Linked DNA regions of Caenorhabditis elegans. The protein of the gene in region 4 purifies or fractionates together with the protein of the main gene of each other region. This does not show direct contact. Each region holds a gene or a part of one and is shown on either strand. Other genes may lie near its edges.

Region 1 (7,541 bases), on a different chromosome or scaffold from region 4:
TCAGTAATCCTACAGGGCTTAACTTTTCGAAGCTCCAGATTCAACTATTCTACCTTTAACTACGCGCGGTGCCTTCTTTCTTTTTTTGGGTGCAGCAGCAAAAAAACCCTCTCATACTTTTCGCTAAGCTTCCGAGGAATTATTTATGAGAATTATTTTATAAGAGCAGTGGAATAAAGAGGAAGAGAGGAGTTTTAGTATGACCGGAAGTAATTGAACTTTTCAAAGAGAATGAGAGAGAAAGTACCATGTCATAAAGTTTCAAGCTTCATAAGGGAGGTGGTCGCGATAAAAGAAAATAATAGAGTACTGCTTCTAAGTCTAGACCGCAATTATTCATCAGAAAACTCTCAATAAACATGAGAGTAATAACAGAAAAAAGTAGAAAGTTGTGACGCAATAAGCATTTAATTTCAGAGGAACGTTCTCCGAATGGGGTTGTGTTGTTTATGGAGCAGCTGACATGACGTTGTCATTGATCGAAGTTCTTCTTGCTTGCATGATTGCCTTTGATCGATACATTGTCACAATCACACCAAAATGGGGAAAATGGAGATGCAATTCAAATTACTTCAAACTCATCTTCTTTGGAGCAATCGCCGTTGGACTTTGGAGTTTTGTTCCAACAGCTGGATACGGGAAATACAGCACATTCCATCATAAGATGTTCTGTTCAATTGATTGGAGACAAGGAAACATTGAACCGGATTCGGAGAAATCTCGTCTCTCGGCACACAGATACATTGCATTTCTAACAGCAACTTGTCTAGTGTTCTTCTTGATTCCAGTCTGCATTGCTTCTTCTCTCTACTACAGTATAATTGATCATGTTGATAGCCAAAATGCATCAGAAAGTCAATTGGAGAATGGTATTCCAAAGCCAGAAGTCTGCACATGGGCTCCAAAAAATCATGTTGGAAAAGTTGGACTCGGATGTCTCCTTGTATCGGTTGTCCCGTTCTTCGCCTACTCCATTGTCTGCCTGAATCCAATGAAATCAAATTTCCATCAAATTCATTATATTGTGATACCTGTAATTGTCAGTCGAGTAAGTACTCTTCTCAATCCAATTTTCTACGTGTGGCTCAATCCTGAAATAATCCCAATCAACGAGTTCATTGCAAAACGAGCAAAGCCTCGTCCACAACGACCAATGTACAATACAATCAGATTAGTAAGTGAAAATATACCGTATATCTTCTATTAATATGGCCTCCCTATTAGACTTGCACTCCCTATTAGTATTGCCCCTCGGAGACCTTCCGAAAATTAGTATGGCACTCCCTATTAGTCTTGCACTCCCTAATAGTCTTGCGTTTACTCTTTTTTATTGCAGGCCCGTCTCGTTTAATTTCAGGATTTCAACAAAAAAAATTGCCTATTTTGCTACAGTTTTTCACAAAATTTCTACGAGATTGAAGTTTTTGAACTTATATGTTACAATTAAAATCAAATTTTCTGAATTTTTACATAAAGATTCGAGCTTTTTCAGAAAAAAACTAGTAAGCTCAAAGTCAGAAAAATGTTCTGAAAATTAGTATTGCACTCCCTAATAGTCTTGCACTCCCTATTAGTATTGCAAGCGGGAAGACCATCGAAAAATAGTATTGCAGCCATATTAATAAAATAAATACGGTACTTTAACTCAAAAAAAAAAATTATTCCAGATCGCCGATGTCCCTGGAATGTCTTTCCCTATCCTGACACCAACAATTCCCCGCCGACAACTTCCAAAAATCCCGCCTCATCTGGCATCACCGTCGAGACCAAGTCTCAATGATTTTCTGGAGGAAGATACCGATTACGAACCAAAAGAGCATACACCAATGCTTTAAATTACTGGAAATACACATAAATGTACGGGTTAACATTGTTTGTCGTAATTTATTAAAACTGTTTCAATAAAAAACATGTATTTTTATGGTTGAGCCTTCTTGATTGGTACATTTTCGGCGCTGTCCTCTACATATTCAACACCATTTTCCTGTTGTTGTTTATTATCTTCATCGTAGTATTTGTCAATAAGAGTTGCATCTTTACCAAGACAAGGACGGTTGTTGCATTGATATTTAATGGGATTTTTCCTTTAAAACTTGAGTAAGGATCTTCGAAGAGAAAAATGTAGTTACATATACATTATTAGAAACACACCATACAAAACTTATTTTTAAAAACTATATATACTTACGGGCATGCACAATTGTCGGTCTTCTCCACGCATGCGTACTTCATAAGTTGCCAACCTCCACCACATGTTACTGGACATTCAGTCACTGGAACAATGTCACATTCAACTTGAAGTTGTGGAGAAGCTTGAGCTATGGTTGCAGCCACAAATGAAATAAGAAGAGAAAATACCAGAAGCATGTTTCTTTCGAATGACATATGACGAGGGGTTTCAATGGCCATAATGATTTTATGGATTTGCTTGGTTGTCTTTGAAACAAAACTTTCGGGAAAAATAACGATGAGTCTCCTCTTTTGTACACATTTTTAATTCTCACAGATTATTGACGATACCAAGTCGTTTTTGATGAGATTCTCAGATTTCGAGAAGGAAGATGTTTTTGAAAACTGTACAGTATGGCTTAAGAGAACCTCATTGAAACACTCATAAAAGATCTGAATAAAAGCCAGACGCATAGTTTTCTAACAAATTTTTAAAAAAATTCAAAGCTGGTTTTTTTTTCAAATAAATATAAAATTAAAATGAATATCTTTACAAAAATAGACTGGAAAATCTCTAATAAATGCAAATCCATTTGTGCCAACAATTTCTCCAAACAATAACATGATTTCTGTGGTTTCATTATGCAGAGCGTGTAGAGACAACTACCTCAGAACTGTCAGAACTGTCAGAGTAACATTTACATGTCAGGGACAATGCTAATTTCATATCTAATTTTGTGACTATATCGTTATAAATTGTTATTCCAGTATTTAAGATTTGTGATGCGACCGTCTCGTACGACAGTTTTTGGATGTATGGTGAAGTTGGTCACAAAATAATGTGTCCTTATTTTGTGCTCATCGGAGAGATTTGGAGAGCCTAGAGAAACACAAAATTCAGGAAATTTCTTATAAAAGTAGTTGAAACAACAAAAGTGAAAGTTGTTTTATTGGTGTCGCGAAGGCAAGATGTCTGTTACTCATAGTCAACTTCAATACACAGATTCCAATGGAAAAGTGTACGAAGGAGATCTTTATGTTCCAAGGTTTGTATAAATTTAAAGTTTATGTGAATTTTGCCGGAAGATTGAATTTTAGCATGAATAATAAAAGTGTGTGCGGATTAGATTGTTTTTCCTTCCACCAGTCGGATAGGTTTGCATTTGTTGACTTTCTGTTGTGTGGTGTTTTTTTGTGACAAACGATTGCCTCAACTTTATTGAAATTAGGGATTTTAAACAAATTAAAAATTTGAATCTATGTTGTAAATTTTCGATAAATGTTATGCAATATTAAATTTACTTAGCATACGAAATCTGATTGATGATTAGAATGGTAACATTTGACATCAACATAGTATCAGACTGGTTTAACTAATTATCAAACCAAACTTGTTATTTATTCCAGAACAACTAGAATGAGAAAACTTCCCGGTGTCCTTGTGTTCCCTGCATTCCGCGGAATCACCGAATTTGAAAAAGAAAAAGCGAAGGCTCTTGCTCAGGAGGGCTACATCGCATTGGCAGCTGATCCATTTGGAAAGGGAATTCATCCAAAAGACAAAGCAGAATGTTTTGCAATTGTACGCCCAATGATAATTGAGAGGAGTAAACTATTAAAGTGTGTAATAGTCGCGGCATTTGATGCCATAAAGGCTGTTCAGTGTGTAGATGTTAATAAAATTGGAGCACTTGGATTTTGTTTTGGAGGCCTATGTGCGCTTGATCTAGCCAGGTACAATGTTGGACTGAAAGCAGCCATTTCATTTCATGGCACACTGACTCCAATACCTGATGCTCCACTTGATAAGATTATTGAAACAGCTGTCCAGGTTCATCATGGAGATTCGGATGCTCATATTCCAAAAGAACAAGTCGATGGATTCCACGTGGAGATGAGAACTCGAAATGCGGATTTTGTGTTTTCCAGTCATGCACATGCTGAACATGGATTCACAGAGCCAGGTAGAAATAGTTTACGAATAACTTTACGATATATTTTTATTTTTCAGATGCTGATTCTTTCGGACTTCCCGGAGTTAAATATAACAAAAAAGCTGCGGATCGATCATGGGCATCTGCTTTGGCTTTATTTAAAGAAATATTTTAAATCTCATATTATATGCATTATTTAAATTTATATAAATTTTCATGAAAGAGAAAGAAAAATATTTGTTATTTTTAATCAGATTCAGATAACTTCAAAATTTTGGCTCAGTTTTTATGGCTTTGAACACAGTTTAAAGTCTTAATAGAGATGTAGTTTATATTGATCATTTTTGTGACAACTTTTTGGTTTGTGAACTTTCCCGAAACTATGTTTGCTACGCACTAATGAAACGTAGAGACCCAGAGAGAAAAAAACGAAAGGTCATAAATATAGCAGTTATAATGGTAATAGAGACGATACGCAGACAACGTCAAACCCCAAAAGGTATACATATATATTGACCGTCTTAGATAACTCTTGTTAGTTTTCTTCTTTTCGAGATGACCGTTACCACGAAACTTATTGATTATTCTGATGAGGAAGGTAATAACTTTGAAGGAGTTCTTTATATTCCAAAGTTTGTTTTTTATTTTTTATTTTCATTTTTTATTTATTTTTGTAGGAATGTAAAACAGTCAAAAGTTCCCGCCGTACTGATTTTCCCAGCTTTCCGAGGAATTACGCATTTCGAAAAGGACAAAGGCCAACAAATTGCCGAGGTTACTTTAAAGTCTATATTTAGTAGGTTTTACAAAATCAGGAAAACTATAACAGCTGCATTCTCAGGAATATGCTGATTTAAAAAAAAAGACCAAATTTTAGCTTGGATTCGTTGCTTTTGTTGCTGATGTCTATGGAAAAGGTGTGAGACCAACTGAACGAGCAGATGCATTTGCAACAATGGGACCGCTTGTTTCCAATCGCGTTGAGAAACTGAAACCAAGACTTTTTGCCGCTGTCAATACTTTGAAGACTTTCTCTGAAGTGGACACCTCAAAAATTGCAGCAATCGGATATTGTTTCGGTGGGCTTTGTGTTCTCGATTTGGCAAGATACAATGCTGGACTCAAAGGAGTTGTATCCTATCATGGAACTTTGAAACCAATTCCTGATATTGCTCTAGATCCAATTGTTGGAACAACTGTGTATGTTCATCACGGAGACGCAGACTTCCATATTGCAAAAGATCAAGTTGATGGATTTCATGAAGAAATGAGAACTCGTCAAGCTGATTTTGTCTTTGTATCGCATGCAAATGCAGTTCATGCTTTCACTGAGCCAGAAGCTGACAGTTTCAATGCACCAGGAATTGGTTACAATGAGAAGGCTGCAAAAAGATCATGGAATGCAACTCTCGACTTGTTCAAAGAAATCTTCTAATGTTGTACTGTACACTACGATCACAAAATTTTGTGACTTTTCTATCTCTCCGTCGTAACAAACCTGTTTGAAATAAATATGATAAGTAAATGTATAAAAGTATTTATTATGATCATTTTGTCATTTTTTGCAGAACTTTTTCTGATTCTATAAATTTTAAAGTTCAGATTTCATAGCTTTTTTCCGAATTGAAAGCTATGTCGATTCATCAAACTATTGATTATGAAGATGCGGATGGCAATTTATTTTCAGGAGAGCTGTATAAACCAAGGTTATTATTTGATTGTTTACTTGTTAAATGAAACCGTTGAACACTATGTATATCTAAAATAGATCTAAATTGATTTCAACAAATAAGAGTTTTCAAGTTATATCCGATGTCTGTGATAATTGATAATTGATATTTTAAGATTTTTGAAAAGTTTGAAACTATAATTCAATGTTTTCAGCTCCGATAACTCTACTAAACATCCCGGCGTTTTGATTTTCCCTGCATTCCGAGGAGTGTCCAAACTGGAAATTGCAAGGGCAAAATTATTGGCTGAAGAACATGGATATGTAGCTCTTGTTGCTGATATTTATGGAAAAGGAATTAGATGCACAGACATCTCATCGGCAGTGACACTGCTCCGTCCTATGACTAGCGATAGAAATGGAAAGTTGAAACCAAGATTAGAAGCTGCTTTAAATGCCTTGAAATCTGTTCCATGTGTAGATAAACAGAAGCTCGGTGCATTTGGATTCTGTATTGGAGGACTGTGTTCCCTGGATTGTGCTCGTTATAGATTTGATGGAATTCGAGCTGTTATAAGTTTTCATGGAACTCTGACCCCTATCGAAGGAATTCCTTTAGAACAATTAGATGATATTTTTATTCAAGTTCACCATGGAGATGCTGACGCACATGTTTCAAAAGTCACCGTTGACGCATTCCACGAAGAAATGAGAGCAAGAAATTCCGACTTTGTTTTTATTTCTCATGGGAAAGCAATGCATTCGTTCACTGATCCTGGTTGGTTTCCGTGAGCTCATTCAGGGAAATGTCAAAAGTTCAAATTTTCAGAGTCTGCTGAAATTGCCCCATCTGGAGTCGGTTACGATGCGAATGCTGACAAAAGATCTTGGAAGGCTACACTAGAGTTTTTGAAAGAAGCTTTTGCATGAACTACACATTCCAATAACTTCTCAAAATAAAATGTTACTTCATCTGTTAAAAATAGGCTGACAAAATTAGAAGATATGAGGATTAACGGAGCGTACTGAAATCGTAGACACTCTTGATTTCGTACTGCCAGAGCCTCCTCGTACTTTTCTCGAAATAAATTTCAAAATGGATTGACGATATGGTAGTATACAGTAACAAGATATAAATGGATCACATAATGCAGGAAACCCGGAGCACAACATTTGAAAATGCTCTACCAGAACAATTTCTTTTCCAGTAAACTGGGAATACAAGTACAATGAAACAATTGGTGCATATGACAAAAATGGAATTCGAGCTAAAATTAAAAAAAAAGGTATTTCACAAGTAACTGTGGTAAAAAGGACTCCTTCCGACCGAAACGTCATAAAGATTGGAGATAACGAAAACAACTATGTATCGACTAGGCTGGTTGGTTGATACTTGGTACATCATCAAACTTGGCACATATTCAATCTCGCCATCTCTGTTGCTATTTAATGCTGTTTACAACTCTGTGAATACGGGATAGTAGTGGCGATAGGTACACCTGTTGTAGTCCATCGCCACCCCTAGTCCTAATAGCACCTAGACATCTGTCAACTGGTTTGAGCAAAACAAATTGCACAAAAAATACAGGGCGATGCCGACTCCTTGGAAAATTAGGTAGAAAAGACGGTGATGTGTCTATGTTTTTCCATAGTATTACCTGCTAGAGGCCACTCTCTTTAAAGGCAGATGATATCTCCCCAGAACGGTGGCTCTGCCACTCTGACGATTAAATATACTGAAAATAAAGATAAAGTCCAAAAATTAAATG
Region 2 (7,156 bases), on a different chromosome or scaffold from region 4:
TAAAAAAAAAACAAAATCATTAATTTTCTATCTAAAATTTCAATCTTTCCATCTACTTTTAGATCTGCCTTGCCCTCGTCTCTCATGTCAACACAAATTTTGACATGGAAAACCTGTATCTGGAAGACTCTCCGCTCACCGACATCTCCCGTCGCATGCAGAATTTCGTGTTGGGCGAGGCGTTTGTCGTAAACTTTGGGGTTTATCCGATGCCAGATTTTGATGATGAGCAAATTCGGTTGAAGTTTGAGGAGATGGTAAAGAGCCTGGAGACAATGCCAAAATATGGAGCAGGCAAGGAGAACACGAATTTGTGGATAAGAGAATATTCTAATGTAAGGGGGCTTTTGGAAATTTTGAAAGTTTCTCTAGCGAAGCTCTAGCTTCTCTATGAGAAATGTGCTCGAAAGTTGGAGAAATTCGCTAGAGAGGTTTTCCTGGTGTTGCCAATTTCAATTGGCAAAACCCTAGTGCCTAGAAAAATGGTTACTTTCATGTATAGCATAAGCCTAAGCCTAATCCGAAGCTCAAGCTAAAGCCTAATCCTAAGCCTAAGCCTAAGCCTAAGTCTCAGCAAAAATGAGATGTTTCTTTTCTTTTTTATTCTATTTCGAGAATTAATATTTTTTAATTTACGCAATCTTATTTGGATCTAGTTTCGTCAGAAAGCCTGTCTATAAAATTCTGAAATCTGATTTCCCAAGTTTTCCAAAAAAGTGTTGGGTCTCATTCTGTACAATTTTTCATAAGCTAAAAAATATTTGTTCTTCTCAATTTTAGGCAGTCGCCTTCTGGGGTGAAACTGAAGACTTCTGGCACAAAGAGGATATGGTTAACAACTATAGGGAATATGGAATGGACGAGAAATATGTCACTATGACAAATGACACGAATGGCGATGAAATTATCGATGGATTCTTCTTCACAATTACCTATCGCAATTTCACCAATTTCCTGGAAGTCGAGTCGTTTTTGGAGGACCGTCGGGATATTTTGAAGAATTATTCGACCTATTTCAAAGTATTTTCACATCATCCATTTGAAAAAGTTCCCACGGAAAGTGCAGCTTCAGCCCCATTCAACTTTATATCCACGTCAGGTAAAGAAACTCTAAAAATTATCGTTTTTTTTTCCGTACCAGAATATTAAAACTTCCAAATATTTGTTTTTTTCAGTATCCGCCGTCGTACTAATGTCCCTTCTAGTGTTGGTATTTATCATGAATTTCGAGGCAATTATTTCTGTAGCAGTGTCAATTGTATCAATATGTCTCGGAATAGTTGTGTACCTCCATTTATGGAATGTGAATCTCGATGCAGTTTCACTGATATCTATGCTAATGTCAATTGGATTTTCCGTGGACTATTCGGCTCATGTTTGCTATCACTACTTTGCTCATGTGCATGAGGATGTAAGGATTTTTCAGCTTAGTGTGAGGGTATCGTAGTGGTACTATAGTAGTACTGTATGACTACTGTAGGGGCACTGTAGGAGTAGTGTAGGAGTTCTTCTGTGGTACTGTGGGAGCACTGTAGTTCTGTAAAAAAATAGTTTCAAAAAACTTAATCTACAGTAGTCTAAAATACAGTAACCTGGGATTCCGTTTCTACGAGGAATCTCCGTTTCATAAAGAATCACAACACTAAAAGTTGTGTGTGGCTGACTTAAATTAGCTCTACAGTAATCCCATCAAGCTAAGCCACTTATTAAGACGCCCGAGCTACAGTACCCCTTACTGTACTGGCATTCTAGTCAAATACTATACTATAAAATTGAAACATGCATTAACCCTACAGTACCCTAATCTATGATCTTATTTTTAAACTATTGTACCATCACGTGGTGTCAGAGAGTCCCATTTCGGTTTGAAATACGTAGATCTACAAAAAATGCGGGAGTTGAGACGCAGAGATTTCAACTGATTTTCAACACATTTCTCTTGGCGAAATATCCCCGCATTTTTTTTGTAGATCAAACCGTAATGGGACAGCCCCACACGATGTTTACATACTTCACACTACATCCACCATACCAAACAACCGTACCCCATTTTCAAACCAACTTCATATTTTTCTAGGAGCAACTCTGGAGATCACATAACTACGCCGAGACTCGTGACCGTCTTCTAAGCACCTTCCGCGGAGTCGCCTGGCCAGTAATGCAGTCCGGGCTCTCCACGATTCTTGGCATGTTCCCATTGATGTTTGTACGTGCGTATGTTGTAGCAGTATTCTGGAAGACTGTGATCCTGGTCGGTATACTTGGAATGCTTCATGCTCTCATTCTGTTGCCAGTAATATTCATTTTAACGCATGACATTAAGCTCTTATTCCGACGGAAACGTGCAGTTGCTCCTACTCCGCATTCGATGGAATTGGCTTCATAGAGCGTTTTGTTGTAGTTTGTATGTTTTTTTGAAAACCCAGGGTATTTTCTTTTCCATTGATTGTATTATCATCTAATACGGGTTGTTCACATCTCCATTGATTGTTTGATAACATGTTTGAAATAAAATTTTCGTACTCAATAGTAAAACAGTACACAGCTCTATGTTTTAGGTTACATATGAGTATGAAATAAATGAAAAGAGTGGTTCGAAGCACTTGAGAATTATCTTCGGTACTCAAGCAGCACTGTTACTGTAGCGAACAGAACTATGAAATTTTTAGAAAATTAAATTACACTAGTGAATTTATATTCCCACAATAATTTGAATTTTTACAAGGAGATATTAAAACTATTTATTGTATTCAATTATCAAACAATTTACAACAAACTTTAGTACTGAGTATCTGGGCGAATCTCGACCCACTTCTTGATAGCTGGAATCGCATAGACCTTCTCCCGAAGAGCAACCAACTTTGGCTCTCCCGCTGGAGTGAATAACTGATTTTTGTCCAAAGTTGTGATGCACTCCACAACTACAATATCGGCAAAAGTGAGCCCATCTCCAACCAAGAATCCTGACTTGCTCTTCTCCAGGATCCCATTGATGATTACGAAGAATGCATCTCTAGCCGGAACGACATCTGATTGCATGATCTTTGCAATCTCCTCAGCTGGCTTTCCAGCGGCATGTGCTTTTCCGACTTCTCTGAAGGATCCCATGAAATCCTTGAATTGGTCAACGATGGCATCTGCCCAAGCTTGCTCTTCCGGGGTTTTTCCAGCATATCCAAATTTATTGGCAAGATAGCGGATGATTGCAGCAGATTGTGGAATTTCAAATCCATCGACGGATAGGACCGGGACTTGTCCGAGTGGAGTTTCTGAAATACTTACTTTGAGTTTAGTGTTTGCCACATATAAATGACCTACTTTCTTTCAGCTTTTCCCATGTTCCATCTCCATGGGTCATACGGAAATCCTCAAATGGAACATCGGCAAGATGGAAGAGAATACGAGCAGCTTCTCCGTAGCCACGAGCGTTGAAATAGGTGAGTTTGTAGGAAGGCATAGTGATCTGTCTGTTTTAAATATAGGTATGTGTGATAGTGTGATTCCGATATCAAACAATTTTTCGAAATAGCATTGGAAAAATGCAGTCTTTCCGCATAGTCTTATCAAATATTTGACAGAAAAAGTCAAACCATGATTAATTTTTACAAAGTATTTCAGAGAAAAATAACAATTTAAGGTCAATTGTACAATTTTAAAAAATGTATCCTGGACCATAAAATTTTTTTAACTGTAAAATTGAACAGAACTGAGTTTAGCTTCAATCTAGATAGAAAAATAAAGTTAAAAATAGAATTAACACGTTCAGAATTAACGTATTTGAAAATAAAATGAGATTACATGAACATAACATAACGATTTATTGAATTAATATATCAGCACATTTAAAACAAACCTAGTTCAGGGTATCTGGACGAATCTCAACCCATTTCTTTATTGCTGGAATCGCATATACCTTCTCTCGAAGCGCGACCAATTTTGGTTGCTCCGATGCAGTGAAGAGCTGATGTTTGTCCAAAGTTGTGATGCATTCCACAATCACAATATCTGCGATGGTTAGACCATCTCCAACTAAAAATCCGGACTTGCTCTTCTCAAGGATCTTGTTGATTATCACAAAGAATGCATCTCTTGCCGGAACGAGATCTGACTGGATGATCTTCCCGACCTCCTCGGCAGACTTTCCAGCAGCGCTTGCTTTTCCCACTTCTTTGATTGATACCATAAAATCCTTGTATTGATCGACGATAGCATCAGTCCAGGCTTGCTCCTCCGGGGTTTTTCCAGCATATCCGAATTGCTTGGCAAGGTAGCGGTTGATTGCAGCGGATTGTGGAATTTCAAATCCATCAACTGATAAGACTGGGGCTTGTCCAAATGGAGTTTCTAAATAGAAACAAAAAATAATGTTCAATTTCTGTCTTGGCTACTTTATTTCAGTTTTTTTTAAATTTTAATATGGCGTTTCAAGGTCGCTATTACTTACTGGCTTTGAGATTTTCCCATGTTCCATCTCCAATGGTCATTCGGAAATCTTCAAATGGAACATCGGCAAGATGGAACAGAATACGAGCTGGTTCTCCATATCCACGCACGTTAAAATAGGTCAGCTTGTAGGATGGCATTTTAGTTAAATGAAAACCACAACCAGACAGTTTTCTTGTGTGATTCTGCAAGCAAAATGATTGGGAAAAATTCCTCCGCAAAGTGTTATCAAACTGTCGTGGAGATCAATAAACCAAAAACCAAGAAATGGATGGGGGGGGGGGGGGGGAGGTGGGAGAAGAGTCAATAAAAATTCGGACGGAGAGTCAATAAAATCCAAAATTCTACTTTAAGTTAAAATAAAAAATGTCGAACGAGGTAAAGTGCCCGCAATCCAATGAACGATAATCGAAGGAGTGGACATCATTCCGTTTTCTATTCGCCTCTTCCATGCACTTGCAATAAACAGAACTTGCAAGTGTTTGGTAGAGAGGCGGTGAGAGGGCACGAACCTGTGGCAGTCGGAACGAGAGACCAACTCGTTATCCAGCAGGCCACGCGTGCACTTGGCAGAAACGGTGTTGTTGAGAATGATGTTGAGTGCGGGTTTTAGAGGAAGAAGGCAGCTGCGATTGAGAGGAAAATTGCAAATAAGAATGCAAATAGTGGTGCATTTTAAAAATTTATTCGAATTTGTAATTATATTACTTCATTGAACAAAATTTCAAGAAAATTTTCGATTTAGTACTGAGTATCTGGACGAGCCTCTACCCACTTCCTGATAGCTGGAATTGCATAGACCTTCTCTCGAAGAGCAGCCAAGTTTGGTTGCTCCGAAGCAACAAACAATTGATTTTTCTCCAAAGTAGTAATATTCTCAGAGATGACAATGTCCGCGAAGGTGATACTGTCGCCGACTAGGAATCCTGACTTGCTCTTTTCAAGAAGCCCATTGAGAATCTTAAAGTACGAATCTCTAGCTGGAATCACTACTTCAGAAGTGATCTTTGCAATTTCTTCCTGAGATTTTCCAGCGAAATGTGCCATGATACGTTCGCGGAATGATCCCATGAAATCCTTGAACTGATCAACGATGGCATCTGCCCAAACCTGCTCTTCTGGGGTTTTTCCAGCATATCCGAATTTGTTGGCAAGGTAGCGGATTATTGCAGCAGATTGTGGGATATCAAATCCATCAACGGTCAGGTAAGGTACTTGACCAAATGGGGCGCCTGAAAAAATATATATATGTGAGTAAGTATTTGGAGCATTCTAAAAATTTCAAAATTTTCAGAAATTTTCCAAAAAGCTCCAGAAGTTGTAAAAGTTTCTAGAAAAAAATTTTTAGATTAAAATTCGAATCCCATCCAAAACTTCATCGTGAAAAATAATGTTTTTTTTATTGTGAATTTCCCGCTAAAAAAGTTTCGAAACAATTACATATACATAGCCCTAAAACTATTTTATAAAAAAAATTGATTTTTCCGGCGAAATTTTTTAAATAATTTTTTGTTTTAATTTGGAATGCCTTTTTTACGAAAAATGATGCCTACAATTTTTTGAAAAAAATTTAACCCATCCAAGACCGTGTGCTCAGAAAATTTGGCTTTCCCATTATTGTCAGAACTTTTTTTAAAATTTGAATGCCATCCATAACTTCTTATCAAAATATCGCGCTATAATAAGATAGGCAGGCAATCGGTAGGCCCCAAATCTCCACTAACCGTCTTTAAGCTTCTCCCATGTTCCATCTCCGTGTGTCATACGGAAGTCCTCGAATGGAACATCTGCCAAGTGGAAGAGGATACGTGCGGCCTCAGCGTATCCACGAGCATTGAAATAGGTGAGCTTGTAGGTAGGCATTTTTGACAACTTTTCTGTAATGAAGTAGTATTTATACGCAAAAAAGGAAAACTGGAACGCCGAAAATAATTGGACAACAAAATAATCGCATCAATTATTTTTCTGTACAACTTTGCCAACCCTTTTTATACTATATGTTTACCGTCTATGTCTCTGCCTTCACGTGTGCTGGCAGTTGATGCTTGGTTGTGTTTGAACAATTTGAAACGATTGATCTTTTGCCGTTTCCTGCCACTTTGGTTTTTGGTTGTGGTTTTTGGTTTTGTTGAAACTAGGACTTCAAAAGCCTGAGCCTGAGCCTGAGCCCAATTTGACGGTTTGCCGATTTGCCAGAAGTTTTCAATTCCGGCAATTTGTAGATTTGCCGGGTTTTCGGAAAATTTAATTCCGCAATTTTCCGGTTTCCGATTTGCCGGAGGTTTTTAATTCCGACAATTTGCAGATTTGCCGATTTGCCGAAAATTTCAATTCCGGCAATTTTCTGGTTTGCCGATTTGCCAGAAGTTTTCAATTCCGGCAATTTGTAGATTTGCCGGTTTCTCGGAAAATTTATTTCCGCAATTTTCCGGTTTCCGATTTGCCGGAGGTTTTTAATTCCGACAATTTGCAGATTTGCCGATTTGCCGAAAATTTCAATTCCGGCAATTTTCTGGTTTGCCGATTTGCCAGAAGTTTTCAATTCCGGCAATTTGTAGATTTGCCGGGTTTTCGGAAAATTTAATTCCGCAATTTTCCGGTTTCCGATTTGCCGGAGGTTTTTAATTCCGACAATTTGCAGATTTGCCGATTTGCCGAAAATTTCAATTCCGGCAATTTTCTGGTTTGCCGATTTGCCAGAAGTTTTCAATTC
Region 3 (7,938 bases), on a different chromosome or scaffold from region 4:
GGTCTGTCATTTATTTATCATTCCCACTCAAAACAGGTGAAAATGAACAACTACACTAGAAAGAAAAACGTAAAACTTTGTGATCTCAAAAGCAAATCGGCAATTATTTCAGAGTCGCGAGAAATACACGTACTAGGCTAACCCCACAATTTGTCATGTTACTTATTTTTTGTTCGGTTAATTCAATCAATTGTCCCTGCCATGGAGTATGTCCTTTCACAGCTCAACGAACAAATTTTGATTTGCAAGTGAAACTTGGGCTCGATGTGTCGGAATATGTTTCAAAAAATGTGATATTAATTTAATTGATTATATAAAGCAGCTGCAAAATTGGTATTTTTTCCTAGAATAATTTTCGAGGAATGTGTACCGACTATTGAACAGAACACATTTTGTTCAACTTGTGCAAAAATTAGAAATTTGCTAGCTTTTCATTTTTGAAAGCCTTTCAGGAACGTACTAATTGACAACGAAAAACTTTTTCACTTTAGTGTGCAAAACAGAATTGATCCCTTTTCAGAATAAATCGACAGAGATAAGGTAAACAGTTCAAAAACAATTCTGAACGATCATTGACATAACTACAAAAAGGTTTGATCGAAAGTTAATAATCATTTCCCACGCTTGAGTCTTGTCATATCTAAATTTAATTCTCCCTTCTGCCGCAATTTTACATTACTCAGTTTTCCAAAAAACCAAATGATTACTCAACTAAAATTCAATCAATTTTTGTCTATGAATTATATTTTCATTGTAGTTTATTCAATTTCAAAACTAGAATTGAACGATTATTTAGAATTGAGTCTCTGGACGAGTTTCCAACCACTTCTTGATATTGGCATTTGAATGAACCTTCTCCTGATGCGCCTTAAATTGTGGGAATTCTTCGAGAAGAGCTGGATCAGTACTCAATATATCCGCAGTGTGCTGAGCAATGAGCAAATCCACAAACGTCAGCGAGTCTCCAACCAAGTAACCGGATCCTGCAGTTTTAAGGAAATTATAAATGAATCCGTAGTGCTTCTTGAATCCTGGAAGAAAGACATCCTTGGAAAGAGCATCAAGATCTCCTTCAGCAAATCCCATCTTCACCATCACATATGGACGAACTTCGTTGCGATAATCTTTGAACTGATCAGCGATCGAGTTGACTTGAGCCTCCTCCCATGCACACTTTCCATTGATTCCGAATTGACGAGCCAAAAAGCGAGCGATAGAATGAGATTGTGGAAGAACCTTTCCATCGACCTCTAGAAGTGGAAGTTGCCCGAATGGGGTGGCTGAAAGTCATTGTTAAGCTGCTTGAACTTCAGAAACTTCAAAAATTACAAATAGAATGTTTGAGGAAAAACTATGTTTCTCGTCTCTTTTATATGTTTTTTTGATGAAGCCAATGACAACTAAAAAAACATCTGATCAATTGAATTGAACTTATTGTTAAATAGCTTAAACTCACTTGGTTTGACAGCTGCCCATTCCTCTATTGAAATTCTATGATCCTCAAAGCTTTGTCCAGCATATACAAATATCTGTCGAATAACCTCTCCAGCTCCACGGATGGGGAAATATGATAGCTTGTAGTGGACCATTATTACTACCACTTTTCAAGTAATTGGGGAGTACAAGTCTGTGATACAGTTTGAAATAAAAACCAAGAAGTTTCTATTTATACTCATATTCTCTAAGTGTGTGTGTACTGTTAAGTCATCACTGCTTTGATCGCACTCTGCTGACAACAAACCACAAATATAGTTTGGCGTTATGTCTGTTTCAATGAACTGGTTGAATTAGATAAATGTACATTAAAATAAAGAGTATATTGGAAACTTTAAAGTTTGTCATCATTTACTCTTCCCACTGCGCAGATGTTACTGACAACTCAGTTCAAAAAGTGCCTTTTCATGATGATTCGGATGTCTGAACAAATATATCGGTTGCTTCTGCTATCTTATTTTTTAGAGAACTTTTCAGAATAAATAGATTTCAATGCAATCATTTATCCCATATCAATACAAAAATACATAAAGAGACCATGTGAATTTGGAAATCATTTAGAATGGAGTAACTGGACGAGTCTCCAACCACTTCTTGATGTTGGCATTCGAGTGAACCTTTTCCTGATGAGCCTTGAATTGTGGGAATTCATCGAGAAGAGCTGCGTTGGCAGCCAGAAGATCAGCAGTGTGCTGAGCGACGAGCAAGTCGACAAAGGTCAAAGAGTCTCCAACCAAGTATCCGGATCCAGCCGACTTGAGGAAGTTAGCAAAGAATCCATAGTGCTTCTTGAATCCTGGAAGGAAGACGTCCTTGGCAAGAGCATCGAGATCTCCTTCAGCAAATCCCATCTTCACCATGAAGTATGGACGAACTTCGTTGAGGTAATCCTTGAATTGATCAGCAACCGAGTTGACTTGAGCCTCCTCCCATGCACACTTTCCATTGATTCCGAACTGACGAGCCAAGTAACGGGCGATAGCATGAGATTGGGCAAGAACCTTTCCGTCAACTTCAAGGAGTGGAAGCTGTCCGAATGGAGTGCCTGAAAAATAATATAATTAAAACCTAAAGTTCAAAGTTTTCTTTGAGTAAACAATCATTGACTCCAAACTTCTATCTCTCAGTCATACCAAGCACTTTGTTTACATCTCTAGGTGTCAAACTGCCTAGAGTTTAGCCTTGAATTTTTTTTTCCTTTTTCAAGGTCTATTCATTCGAACACCGAAATTTCAATAACTTTCAAAAAGTAACTCAATAACAACTTCAATCTACTCTAAAGGCAAAAAGGCAATTTGTGTGACCTAGTTAATAGGAACAGGAAAGGTAAGGAATATACCGTACCTGCTACTTTAACGGCTTACATCTCGGTTCTCTTAACTTTTATCAAAAAATGTTTAACTGACAATATTTAAAAGTATATTCTTCACGTATTTTGTCAGTCAAAATTTTTTTGATAAAACCAAAGACAGCTTAACTAAAAGCCTGCAACTATTTCTAAAATGAATTTTTAATTTGGAACTACTTATAAGATTTCAACTAACAATTTCAATATCTATGCACCTATTCAAACAATAATTTTCAATCCCAAACTCACTTGGCTTGACAGCTGGCCATTCCTCCTTTGGGATTCTGTTGTCCTCGAAGTCTTGTCCAGCGTAGGCCAAGATCTGACGAGCAATCTCTCCAGCTCCACGAATTGGGAAGTACGATACCTTGTAGTGGACCATTGTTGAAATAACCAAGCAAGAAATCGAGTGGTCGATGAGAAGGGTTGAACACTGAATGCCGGCCGTCTCTATTTATACCCATTTCTCAAATGTCTGTCGTCTCTCCACTCACCATATTCTGTAGTTTGTCATCATTTGCTCTACACATTGCGCGCACGTTGTTGACTAGAAATCATAAAGTGTAGTCATCGTTTTTTGTTGTTGCAATGTTACGATGAACAGAGTAGGTCAAAATAATATTGGTTGAAAAAAATATATGCAAGGTTTTGTGACTTTTCCAGATCTTTCGAAGGGAATGTTGTGTCACAATTTGTGACTACTCACAAATATAAACCCATGGCATCAATCATCTTGTTACGCTTGCCATTATTATTGAAGATACCATGATAAGAAACTACTATAACTGACACAAAAAGTCACAAAAAATATTTTTTTTTGTTTCTGAAATTTTTCCGACAGTACAACACAATTTCATAATCTCGCGCAAAAGAGGCGTAGGCATTTACCGCAGCCTACGTGCCTGCCTACAGCCTAATTTCTGGGAAGGTGCCTGATGAACAATGATTTCCTATGGAATTTGTCTTTGAAATAATTTAAGTCTCACTTTGAAACACAAACGTGCTTTCTTTTGAGGGTTATACACCTGCCTTTGAAAAGACTATCCTCCAAAAATAAATAAAAGATTACATATTTATTGTGCCCACCGAAATTTGAAAATTCTTATTATGTTCATGTTCCAGAAAACGACGCTTTTGTAATTTTTGACAATAAAAGTCAAATTAACATTATGACGTGATTGGTTTTGTGCTTTGAACATTGTGTCTCACCAGGGAATGTTCGGAAAGTTTTAGCTATGATGGTAAACCACAAAGGAAGGCGGTGTAGGTCTGATTTGTACCTAAAAGCATGCCTACTTCCCAGGCTTTTGTAAATATCCTGTATATTTCAACACTCTTGCAATGCAAAAAGCTTCTATAGAAACATCCTGCTGAAAACTTTACCATAAAATTTTTAAAAGAACAATTCATTCAAGATATTTTAGAAACATCGATTTCCATTAAAACAAATTAGCAAAAAATTGCTTCTTGAAATATGAATTAAAAAATAATACAAAATTGCAAACTCATTTCAATTTAGAATGGGTAATCTGGACGGTTTGCAATATACTTCTGAATTCTGTCGATGCTCTGAACCTTCTTACGATGTGCCAAAACCTTCTTGAACTCCTCAACAACTGCCAAATCTTTATCCAAAATATCTTGAACGTGCTGCGAAATCAAAAGATCCACCCATGTCAAAGAGTTTCCAACAAAGAAACCACTGTGATTAGATGCCAGAATGTTCTCGAAAAACTCGAAATTCTTTTTGAAAGCTGGAACAAAAACATCAGTTCTCAGTTGATCCTTGTCTCCAGGTTTGAATCCAGCAAGAACTGTTAAATATGGGGAGACATCGTTGAGATAATCCTTGAATTGATCAGCAATTGCATCCACTTCTGCCGCCTCGGTGTCATTTTGTCCAGCAATTCCGAACTCTCTGGCCAAGTACCGAGCAATTGCATATGACTGTCCCAATGGTTTTCCATCGACTTCCAAAATTGGCAATTGACCGAATGGAGTGTCTAGAAATTTGAAATTTGAGGAGAAGTGTTTTAAAATAAAATCTAATCTTAATTTTAAAAAAGTATGAAGGTCTTAGAAAATTTTTCGGATTAGTTCGATCTCCAGGAGCGACTTTTCCACAGTGTCCAAGATGTTGTCAGAAAGCACAATTCCATAAAAAGTTTCAAGCATCAAGTTTTCCTCGTACCTACAACCTTTTTTCTGAACTTCTGACTGATCACCCTAAATCAGGAAATAAAAAAAACAATCAGAAGCATAATCCCAATTTGCAAAGTGATTTTTTTAAAGTATTGAATCATGGAATACTGTTCTAGTTCGGATGTGAAAAGTTAGAGAACTTTTGTTTGCAATTATCTACAATTTAAAAAATAAACAAATACCGAAATGTATGAAACGTAGTTTTCAAGTTTTGAAACCATTTATCTTTGCCAAAAGTGTATAAACTCACTATTTTTGCGTGCTGGCCATTGTTCAAAGCTCAGATTCTCCTCGGAATAATCCTGTCCTGCATAGGCAAAGATTTGTCGAGCAATTTCAGCACGGGCTCTTAATGGGAAGTAGACGAGCTTGTAGTGAACCATTTCGTGAAATTTTTTCCTACAAAATGAATGTGAATTATCATCAAATACTGGGTTATTCTTATCATTTTTTGTGTGCTCTACTATCATTATTTACTTTTCAATATATGACTGAAGATATTTGATGACAAAACCAAAACTTGAGAGCACAGCGTTTTTCGGATCACTTTCAAGATTGACTATAGTATGATCAACCGTGATTTCAGAAATCAAAAAGGCTTTGAGAGGATAATTAATTTTAAAGCTTTATGGGGAATATACAGTCTGTTACTTCTTGATATCATGTCAATTCTTGATAATTTCTTTTTTGGAAAGACCTGAAATTAAGAAAAAAACACATAATTGCTTACTTATTAAAATAGATTTAGGAACATTTATAGGATGCGTACAATTTCGCCGATTAAAATTGAAATTCTGAAATTTTGGTAATTTCTGATTTCCGGCAAAATGCCGGTTTACCGTTATTGCCGGTTTCCCGTTTTTTTGCCGTAAAAAAACATTTGCCGCTCACACCTGAAGTGCCTTAGAGTTGCATTTCTTTTCCTATACTTTCATATTTTCAAAGTTCCAATCTTGGTATACATCACACTCAACGGACCAAATAACTTCCTAAAATCGCTAAACTGAGCATCTTCAAACTGGCGTATCTCGAAAAATACAAGTCTGAAAAACAATTTTTAACTAACAAAATGATCAGAAACATTTGTTCTTTCTATTACATTAATTTGTATATCAACAACTTTTTGTAGAGTTACACAGAGTCAAAGCCATTTTTCCAAAATTCAAAGAAAAATTTGAGAACTCTTTTGTTGTACCCTTTATAACTCAATATTCATTGAATTTCAAAAGATAAATTTTGTTAAGTAGTAAGTGAAAAATATTTCTCCACATTTTATCCGTTTTAAGTTTTTCGATATTTTCATGTTCCGCCAAGTTATAGACCGTTTTCTGAAAAAATCCAATCTCCGTCATAAAAATCTTCATATCCAACGTATCGACTTGAAATTTTGAAAAATGATCATTTTTTTGAGGTTTCTACAATGTCCTAGAAAATCTTTCAAAAATGTGGGCTCATCTCCAAAATCGTCCTCCGCTCCAAAATAAGAAATGGGACTTTTGCTTTTCGAAAAATGAGCGGAAAAATGAAATTGCGATTTTTGGGTCGAAAAAAATATTTTTAGAAAGCTGAGAACACGCTATTTACGAATTTCATGTTCATTTTAAGTGATTTCTTCTCTGAAACGACCTAAAAATTCTCTGTGCAACTCTGCAAATAATTAGTTTTTTGCAGTGAAAAGTAATGCAAATAAAAGTAAAAATATTTTGAATCATTTTGTTAGTTAGCAATTTTTGCTCAAGACTTGTATTTTTCCAGATACGGCAGCTTGAAGTTACGCAATTTAGTGGGTTTAGAAAATTAAGTTGACCACCGAGGCTTCCACTTTTGCTGGCAAGTTTATCCGTTTTGCAATTCAATTTTTTCAAATCTGCGATATTAGTAGAATTTTTGATTAATTGTTATTATCGTGAATATAGCAAAAAAGTGAACATTCACATTTTTGTGAAACTATTTTTTTGGAAATTTACTCTTGCTGGTATGACTATACCTTGTTTTCAGATATCATTAACTTTTTATTCTCATTCCATTTCTGTCTCACTCATTTTCATTTTCAATCCTTTTCTCTCTTTTTCCATCACTTTTTCGTTTTTCATCGTCGGACGGACGAGAGACCTCACCAAGTACCACACCACAACAGGCAGCAGTTTATTAGCAAGTTTCTCACGTCTCTCGTTTTCAGGAAACGTTGGAAAATGGAAGAATGATGAAAGAAGAAGATGAAGAAAGCCCTGTCATTGGTTATGGTTCTTTTTTGAGAAAACGGTTATTTGCGGCTTGATTGATATCGCTTTTCATTGGCAGAATGAAAAATGAGGAGAATTTTTGAATAATTAATGGGAAGTTAGTGTCAATTTTTACAGTTGTGCCCACTTGAAATATAACATATTTTTTAGTATCTATCCTGTTTTTATATCGACAAAGAATTTAGGCTAGTTTTTGTAAAAACCCATATTGAAAATTTTAAACAAAACACCTACTCGTTGGGTTAGTTAGTTAGCCTTGATATATAGTTTAAGCTTGTCTTGAATTCTCCGAAAAATTACAAGCTGGCACTACTTTTGGCAATTTTTGGCAACCTTTCAGGTTTGTGTACAGATATTTCTGAAATATCTAGACACTTAACGAATGTTGTAATTGAACATTACACGTATTCGGATCTGCAAAAGACAACATTTTGATTGTTAAAAATTATGATTTCAGTTTCTAGCAAGTTGGAATAGAGATACTATTTACTAGAAATGTTTAAAATAGTAAGGAACTAGTACTGACTTCTTGATCTTCCGGAATCTGTAACTTTTTTCAACGCCCGATTTCTGCGAATGTGGAAATTTTTATCTGAAAATTTAGAAGCTCCAGTTGTTCGCTAAAGTTTATTATGGAGGTACAAAATTTCA
Region 4 (7,956 bases):
TTAACAGTTTTTGAGTAGAATAATTGACAATTGACAAGTTTGAAAATTGGGATGAAATGCTAATAGAGGGAAAACGGTAGTAGATTGAATTGAACAAAATTAAATGAACAATTGAACCATGAAACAACTGAATTTTATCATGGAAACTCTTTTGAAAATCTGGCGCCAATAACTGACAGTATTGGGAAAAATGCAATTCAAGAACGCATAGTTTTAATTACAGTTCTCGATATTACAGACAGCCGTGACAGGTTTTGAATTAAACAAAGGAAGAGAACAACACTGATACCACATAATACTAATACTAAATTCTTGATTGTTATGTTGGTGTATGTGTGGAGGGGAAAAAAAGAAAAAAGAAAAGCAGCCGCTTCGTAAAATTGTAGGTGCTTTTTTCTTATTTCAGCATTGCTGCTGTAACTTTTCCGCCTTGCAATTCCAACTCAACAAATTGTACGAGCGCGTTATGAGAGTAAGTTATGTCCGGGAAAAAAAAGAGCGACAGAAAAAGGAAAAGTGTCGTTGAGGAATGGGCTAGTGGGGTTGAGGGAACTGTGATGTGCTGAATAATGTGATGGGAATTGGGAAAAAGAGTGTATTTAGGACGACGAAAAAGCGAGCAAGAAGAGTGGCGACGGGACAGATCGAATAAGAAGCGGTAATTGAAATGAGTCTCCATATGATAGATGACAGAAGGATGCAGGAAAAGAGGCCATCGGATGCGCACGCAAATCACCTGCTCCTCTTCATCCTCCTACATTCCCATTTCTGATCGCACATACTAAGCGTTTTGCCCCTTTTTGGCGAAACCGCCTATGATAATTTCCAAAAGATTTATGAAGCTCTCTTGATGATGCCAGTCCGCCGATGACCAACTAAGCATGTGATCGAAGATAGAGAACTGGAAGTCCACATCAAAAACCAAAAAAGAATTATGAACTGTTTTTTATTCTATCACATCGCGACCAGCAAAGAGATCAGAGTAAGATGAAAGACGATTGATTGATTAATTTTATTATCAGCCACCTATTCATGCATCATATCGCTCAAAATCACAATTTTCACTAAAAGAATAACCTTCCCAGGTGAAGCGTTTTCGAACAATAGGTTTAGATGGTGTATGCATTTTACCCCACCCAATGTGGGAAAATATTTTCAAGGTCTTGTTTCACAGTGAATGGAGAGGTGGTCAGTGGAAATGTGATATCAAACAATAAATAAAATGATGGAATACTATATTGGCTATGAGAAAGTACCAGCGGGTAAATGAAATCTGGAATATTTCAGAAAAATAAATAAAAATGAGAAACACACTTTTTTTTAGTTATGGGTTGCCTATTTATTGGTATCCAAAGTTTTTCAAAGTTAGAATATCGTCAGTGGGGCTGAATACAATTTTTTAAAACTATTTGGAAAAAACGCGAAATGTTGTTTTTTAAAATAAGTTTTTTGCCCAAAAAAGGAAAAAAAATCAAAAATTAGGAAACTAATCTTTTTGTACATTTGAACCGTTTTATGAAAAATTCAATAATTTTGATCAGAATAACATTCTTGTTATAATTCAGATTATATTTTATGGCAAAAATGTAATTTATAAGTTTTTCAGTTAACGGCAGGCTAATATCATTTTTATTAGGTCGCCATTTTTTGAAAAAAAAAGGATAATTAAAATTTGAAAAACACGTAAAAAATAAAAGTCTACAGCCCGATTAGGTCTGAATTCTGAATATTATAGTTTAAATTAATATAATACCATGATGATAAACTACAATTTCTTGTAGCTTGTCGACTGACAATATTATAATAAGTTTTTGACAGTAAATAAAACATTTTAAAGTTTTTAGAATAGTTGTACTTTAAAAATTAGCACATTGCAATGCTTTGCATAGCGTTAGAAAAATATCCAGGGAAAGTTCCCTCAATTAAAAAAAATTTCTCAAAACAAATTTTGAATTTAGTCTAAAACAAAAATTCAGACTTTCAAGTAGAGAAAAAACGGAAGAAAGAAGTTTCGTAACTTCTATTTACGCAAAGCATAAATTCACGTATATTTTCCGAGTCACCGGAAACATGCATTGTGTGCGGTCTTCCTTTACAAACACGACATGGTATTGCACAATAATCGCGCGGTTTTTGCGTGCACAAGTGTATATTTCAATAAAATCTAATCGAACATCTCAAATGTCTCTTCTAAGTTGAGGGGAGGAGGATCGGCTAGCAGGAATAGAAGGAATAGAAGGAAGAATGTCAAAAATATAAACAAATTTCTAACAGATTGTTTGTAGCACAAATGTGCCACTATTCTCTTGGAGGATTCTACGGAAAGTGTTCACTAGTGAGATTTAAAACATGTGGAAATGGAGTGTATCAAAGCATTTGAATCATGCTGGAACAAGTGAGAAAAGTACGAAAATTTCTTGCGTCATGAAAAAGTGAGAACCACATGTTTCGCGAAAGCTTTGGATTTTTTGTTTTCTTTGAGTACAGCATAAAATAAAACTCATAAAATTGTGTTTTCCTCCCACCCAATGTAAACTTTGTTATCAAGAAGCCAGTCAGGGTTTTTAGAATTCTTGCAAACGTATAGAAAGAACTGTTTTAGAACTTCTTATCATCACATAACCACATTTATTACAATCAAGCAAGTAATGGCATAGAAATTGAGTTTTTAAATTAGAAATAGGCTTATTTTCCGGTTCTAGAGGTGGCAAATCCAACTCTCTTGTTTCCATGATCGAAGACCGAGTAGAAGCGTCCGATGAAGACGTCTCCGAGAATCCAGAGTGGTCCGGCTGGGGCTGGAATATCCATTCCCATGAATCCAGAGAGGCAGGTGGATCCTCCGTTTCCGTTGGACATTTGAAGGATGTAGTCCTTTCCTTGAAGATCGAAGTTTTGTCCTCCGAGGTTGAAGGTGATGTTTGGAAGAGATGGAATCTTGCTGCACTCAACTTCGTACTCTCCATTGAAGAGTGGGATTCCTCCGATCTTGTGTTGGATCTTCTTGATGACATCAGTTGGTCCAGTGAGAAGGGAAGTTCCAGTGTCAACAATCGAGTCGATTGGTCCGCTGGTGTAGGTGGTTCCATCGATGACAACCGAAGCGAGCTTGATTCTCCAGTAGTCCTCAGAGACGAGTGGCTCCCAAGCGATGTTTCCGACGTAGTGGTTCGGATCGGTGTCGCAAAGGGTAATTTCTCCTCCGTTGGTGATGTCGTTGGCGTCACGGCTAAGCCAGAAAGCGAATAGTTGATTCTTGCAGATGGCGGAGTTGGCGAAGATTTGGTCCATTGGCTGAGAGATCTTGTTAACAGAGATAGTGTCCCATCCCATTCCGAAGATACCGTCAAACTTGGCAGCGACGAAGGTGATTCCTGGCTCAGAAGTAGCACAGGCCAATCCTTGGTTCTTATCAGTACAGTAGGTGGTATCATGTCCGAACTATAAATATATTTTTCAGCTATATTGTAAATAACATCATAAGATTGACTTACGCAGACAACATCGTTGTCAACGGTTCCCTTCATGGATCCAGTTCCGTATTGGATCTCGAAAGAGGCTCCAGTAGCAGTGCAGGAAGAAGACTTCTTGCAATCAAACTGAAAATTATTTTATTGAAAAAAAGTTGATTTGAATACTTCAAAACTAACTCTGTTGTGCATTCTGCAGGCAATATCTCCGAATGGGCAGTTGGCGCATGGCACCCACAAGTTGGAGGATCCAGTATCGAACAAAACTTGGAAGTTTTGTGGTGGAGTTCCAATGGTCACTGGTCCATAGTATTGAGCATTGGAGTAATCAGAAAGACCCTCGTTGAATGCATCCTTGTTTGGAATGTATCCTGGGACGTACTTGGCCTTAAGATGCTCTTGGATTGATCCGAACTTGTATTGTTCACGAGTGTAAGTGCGCTTCTCGAGCTTGATTCTAAAAAAAGAAGAAACATGATAAATAAATAAAATAAAATAATTTAAATATATGAATGGTATATTAAAAATGTAACTAACCTCTGGATGGCAGAAGCCAAGGCGACAAGAGCCAGAAGAAGGAAAACGCGGCCCGACATGGTGCGTTATCACTAATTGAGAAGCAGCGCTCCGGGTTTCTTTTATATGCGACACAAACTCTTGATGATATAATTGTAAACGTCACAACCGATTTTAGTGATAATTAGTAGAGGAGGTTGGCTGGCTGAAAACGGAATTATTTCCTCTCACCGAGTCAAAAGTTTAGATCGGCTATTAAAGTAGTGTACTTTGTGTGTAAAATGAGGGAAAACCATTAAAAAGTGTCCGGGTTGACAAAATGACTTGCTGACAAGGATCCGGATTTTATAGCGTTCTGTTTGCCAAAAGAACACATTAAACTTTTTCCAGCAAAATCATATGTACTTTCAGCAACAAGTCAACACTGCTTTGTCGTCGTCACACCCTCATCGTCATTCTGATCAAAATAACAATTTCAATGGCCTACAATTCAGATTTGTTCTCCCCTATTAAAATATGACTACACTTTAAAATTAGTTCTAGAAAGTTCCACACGTTAAAAATTTAATCGGCTTATTTTCACAAAATATGAAATCATTATCATTATCGTCAAATTGTCTCACAATTTTCGTTACGAAGTAGATAGGGAATACGAAATCAGAATTTGGACATTGGACTAGATGAAATAAATTGAGAACTGTTGCAGTGGTGGAGCAGGTGTGTATACAATTACTAATAATTTTAGAACCTGAAGTAATTTTTATAAATTTGTTTCATTGAACCAAGTATTGAAGTTTTAAGTAGTAAAACATGTGTTACTATAAATTGGCCGAAAGTTTTTTAACAATATTTTTTGTTGGCTTAAAAACACTTATATTAGTCGTGCATGACCAATAATCATAATATAAATATACATACTTCAAAAACTTTTAGATATATATACTTTTAAGTTGAAATTTTGGAAATTATATTGTTTTCCAGCCACTTCCAGAATTATGATAGGTGAAAACTAAGTTTTCTTGAATTTTCGACTGCACAAAAAATTTAAAAAGTCGTTTGAAAAGTTTCACTATAGTCTTAAACCTTTAAACCACAATTTAAATTTCATTTTCACAACGGCCAATACCCAACCTTTGACAAACTCTGAATTCTAGTTTTTTCAACAAAAAAAAGTGTATAAATGACGAAAATGAAAAAACTTTTTGTAGAATGATAAATTATTTCCCAGCCGCTGTGTCAAGGCTAATTAAACAAAATTGAAGTTTTACCTAGCTCTAGTTTTTTTTAATGATTTTAAAAAGTCTAACTTTGAAAAATTTACAATTTTCTTAATATTTACTCTTTCTTTAACAACTTTTTACCTTTTAGATTAAAAATTGTTCACCCCTTTTCTGAATTTCTGAAAGAGAGACTCTCCTGAAACCAAAATTCCAAATAAAGACATTCATATCACGTTTTCTTTCAAGTATCGTTTTTAATGTATATATTCATTATTTTTATCTTAAAAACATTATTGAGACGACATCAATCAACCCCACCACATCAGTTTATCTCATCAAGTTCATCATGCTCTAAAATATCGTCAACAATGATTTCCCCGGCGGGTCTTGTTGGCAGCTTCCCTCAAACCGCCAACCCAGTTGAGCTGTGTAAAAAGCAAAAGTTTGTGCGGACGGCTCAGCGAGCAGCCGTTGTAAAGGATCTCGTTCCACACATCTCTTTCACACAAAATCTTCACTTAAAATGAAAATTCGTTTACTCGATTTTTCGATATTCTCCATTTTGTTGCTATTTCGAACGTCGAAATCATTCAAAGCTCCTACTCACGTGACTGCAACCAAGGGAAAGTTTTTTGTCCACACTCTCCATTCTGCACACTTTTTCCCGAGCACAGGTGCAAACTATTGATCGTTTTTATCAATTGCTCTTTTATTTTCAGTTAAAGTGAAATGGGAAGCTACGCTAAACAAAAAGCCGGCTCTTCCAAACTGGTTACGTCTCTTACCGTCGCGACACCCGGAAATCGCTTATCTAATAGGTGATCGATTAGTTATTAACACACCAGTACATTCATAAAAATAAAATCATCTTATGATTTTTATCGTAGTTATGTATGTTTCAGGCACACCGGTCACAAATGTGCAGCATGTTACACTACACGTGATTGCGAAACGACTGGATAATTTTGATATACAGCAAAGAATGGTGGTGATTAATTTGGTGGAAGACTGTTAGTTTATAGTTTAGAACATTAAAAAAAAGAAACAGTAAACTGTAATTTTGCAGCATTGTATCAAGGAAATACGCAACAAGTTTTTGAACTGCCAATAAATGGACTAGATGTAGAGGATTTAGTTTCAAATCGAGACAGAAAAATAAGTGAGTAATAAAAAACACACTTTTGTCATCATCATCATAATATTGTTCAGGTCAACTAGAAAACTCATTGCGAAACACATTCCGGGGAAGAAATGTAAACCCATATATTGCAGGTGTTCGCTCCAGATACATTATTCCACGTGGCAAGGAGCACATTTTCAAAAATAGTTTCGGGTAAAAAAATGTTTTAATTCAATTCAGTTTTTGAAAAATTCAGAACAATGGTGTATGTTGGTACACAGCAAAAGTTCTATCCCGGAACCATGTCAATTGTACACAATTTACAAACTATGCCCGAGTTTTGTTCAAATCCCTCATCTGTCGTGATGAATAAGTATTTTGCACCAACATTTCCGGTGGACTGGTGTAATGTTGCGGTAGTAAGAACAAAATAATTAAATTTGTCAACATTCTAAAATGTTTAAATATTAATTCAGAGAAATATTTCATCTCTTGAAGGAGAAGGTATTGATGAATTGATAAAGGATGAACAAGAAGAGAAACTGACAAAAGCGAATCCAGATCAGGTAACTTTTAAACAAAACTCTACATGTTTTGAGAAATGCACAGCTTTGAAGCGACCGTAACTTAGTTTTCATTTGATTATTAGTTTATTCAACATTTTACACTGAAGAATAGCTTAACAAACCAATTGAACGGCTCGAATAAAGTAGTAGCGAGATGGAAATGGACGGATTAGCAAAGTTTGACAGTTAAGCATAAAATATGCATTTGGCCTTGAAATTTTACATAGCCACAATAATCGCGTGCGGTTATCGGGGTGAGCTGGCAAATAGCAAACGAAAGTATTGCGGCAAGTAACCATAACCTGAAAGAAGCGGACCGGGCATGTGATTAATGTTTTCTTCAAATTTTAGAATTTAATTTCAGAAATTTTCAAAAAAAAATTTCAGAAAAAATGTCTTTACATTTCAGAATTTGAACGAAAAACCTGAACAACCCCCACGTGAACTATATGGATACTCAGAACATGGTTTTAGCATCGTCTTATTTGCCATAATTCTTGGTGTTTCAATTCTTTTTGTTTTTGCACTCGTGCTCATTTTTTTTGGGTCAAGAGAAGGGCAGAAATGGAGAGACGACAAAACGTCTGGGTATATTTTACATTTTAACTTCAGTTATTGTACATGTTTGTACATAGCTAATTTACAGTGAAACATTGGGCGAATTCATTAGCATTCGTGACAATCAGAAGAAGCTCCGCGAACTATCACTTCAAAGGCAACTTCTGAGCATGGGACCAGACACGAACTCCACTGCGCCTTCTGGAATTCATTCTTATTTACAATCAAGAAGTAGAGCTCCAAGCACTAGTATTGCGAGATTTAGCAAAAGTGCGAGTAGACTTAATGATAAAGGTACTTTGGTTTTTAATATTATCTTTGATTAATTATGTTTGTTCAGAGGATACAATTGAGCTTCTCCCTTCAGTTGATCATGTCCCGGTTGGAAAACAAACTGTTGCAGAAGCGGCAAAACAGTGTGGAAGTTCTTTGCATTTGTACAGAAACCCTCTGAGTAATGAAAGTGATGAACAGGATACGGAGAGTTCTGATGAAGACAACTAGAC

The links.
Region 1: the proteins of asp-3 (region 4) and D1022.4 fractionate together in Caenorhabditis elegans (co-fractionation; one large-scale study listed by BioGRID). This does not show direct contact.
Region 2: the proteins of asp-3 (region 4) and gst-26 fractionate together in Caenorhabditis elegans (co-fractionation; one large-scale study listed by BioGRID). This does not show direct contact.
Region 3: the proteins of asp-3 (region 4) and gst-7 fractionate together in Caenorhabditis elegans (co-fractionation; one large-scale study listed by BioGRID). This does not show direct contact.

What each region holds. Positions count from the first base shown.
Region 1 is NC_003280.10:7,454,404-7,461,944, reverse strand, and holds D1022.4 (Dienelactone hydrolase domain-containing protein), read left to right. Parts: upstream 1-4,652; 5' UTR 4,653-4,658; coding exon 4,659-4,735; intron 4,736-4,780; coding exon 4,781-4,877; intron 4,878-4,980; coding exon 4,981-5,538; 3' UTR 5,539-5,631; downstream 5,632-7,541. Other genes in the region: sro-1 (G-protein coupled receptors family 1 profile domain-containing protein), read left to right, coding at 418-1,174, 1,668-1,835; D1022.2 (TIL domain-containing protein), read right to left, coding at 1,919-2,084, 2,189-2,409; D1022.5 (Dienelactone hydrolase domain-containing protein), read left to right, coding at 3,139-3,215, 3,577-4,133, 4,181-4,278; D1022.3 (Dienelactone hydrolase domain-containing protein), read left to right, coding at 5,736-5,809, 5,988-6,550, 6,602-6,702.
Region 2 is NC_003280.10:15,161,087-15,168,242, forward strand, and holds gst-26 (glutathione transferase), read right to left. Parts: upstream 3,468-7,156; 5' UTR 3,458-3,467; coding exon 3,319-3,457; intron 3,270-3,318; coding exon 2,779-3,269; 3' UTR 2,731-2,778; downstream 1-2,730. Other genes in the region: ptr-20 (SSD domain-containing protein), read left to right, coding at 63-335, 781-1,099, 1,176-1,411, 2,078-2,386; gst-27 (glutathione transferase), read right to left, coding at 3,854-4,344, 4,445-4,583; gst-28 (glutathione transferase), read right to left, coding at 5,185-5,675, 6,168-6,306.
Region 3 is NC_003280.10:4,877,405-4,885,342, reverse strand, and holds gst-7 (putative glutathione S-transferase 7), read right to left. Parts: upstream 3,252-7,938; 5' UTR 3,225-3,251; coding exon 3,092-3,224; intron 2,540-3,091; coding exon 2,052-2,539; 3' UTR 1,985-2,051; downstream 1-1,984. Other genes in the region: gst-8 (putative glutathione S-transferase 8), read right to left, coding at 793-1,280, 1,457-1,589; gst-6 (putative glutathione S-transferase 6), read right to left, coding at 4,358-4,845, 5,295-5,427.
Region 4 is NC_003284.9:6,787,301-6,795,256, reverse strand, and holds asp-3 (Aspartic protease 3), read right to left. Parts: upstream 4,194-7,956; 5' UTR 4,067-4,193; coding exon 4,008-4,066; intron 3,928-4,007; coding exon 3,651-3,927; intron 3,600-3,650; coding exon 3,495-3,599; intron 3,442-3,494; coding exon 2,686-3,441; 3' UTR 2,548-2,685; downstream 1-2,547. Other genes in the region: sgca-1 (Dystroglycan-type cadherin-like domain-containing protein), read left to right, coding at 5,730-5,880, 5,926-6,024, 6,109-6,216, 6,273-6,365, 6,416-6,539, 6,583-6,745, 6,803-6,892, 7,302-7,480 and 2 more. UniProt on the Caenorhabditis elegans protein: Aspartic protease. Part of the necrosis cell death pathway. Involved in neuronal cell degeneration. Involved in heat stress response.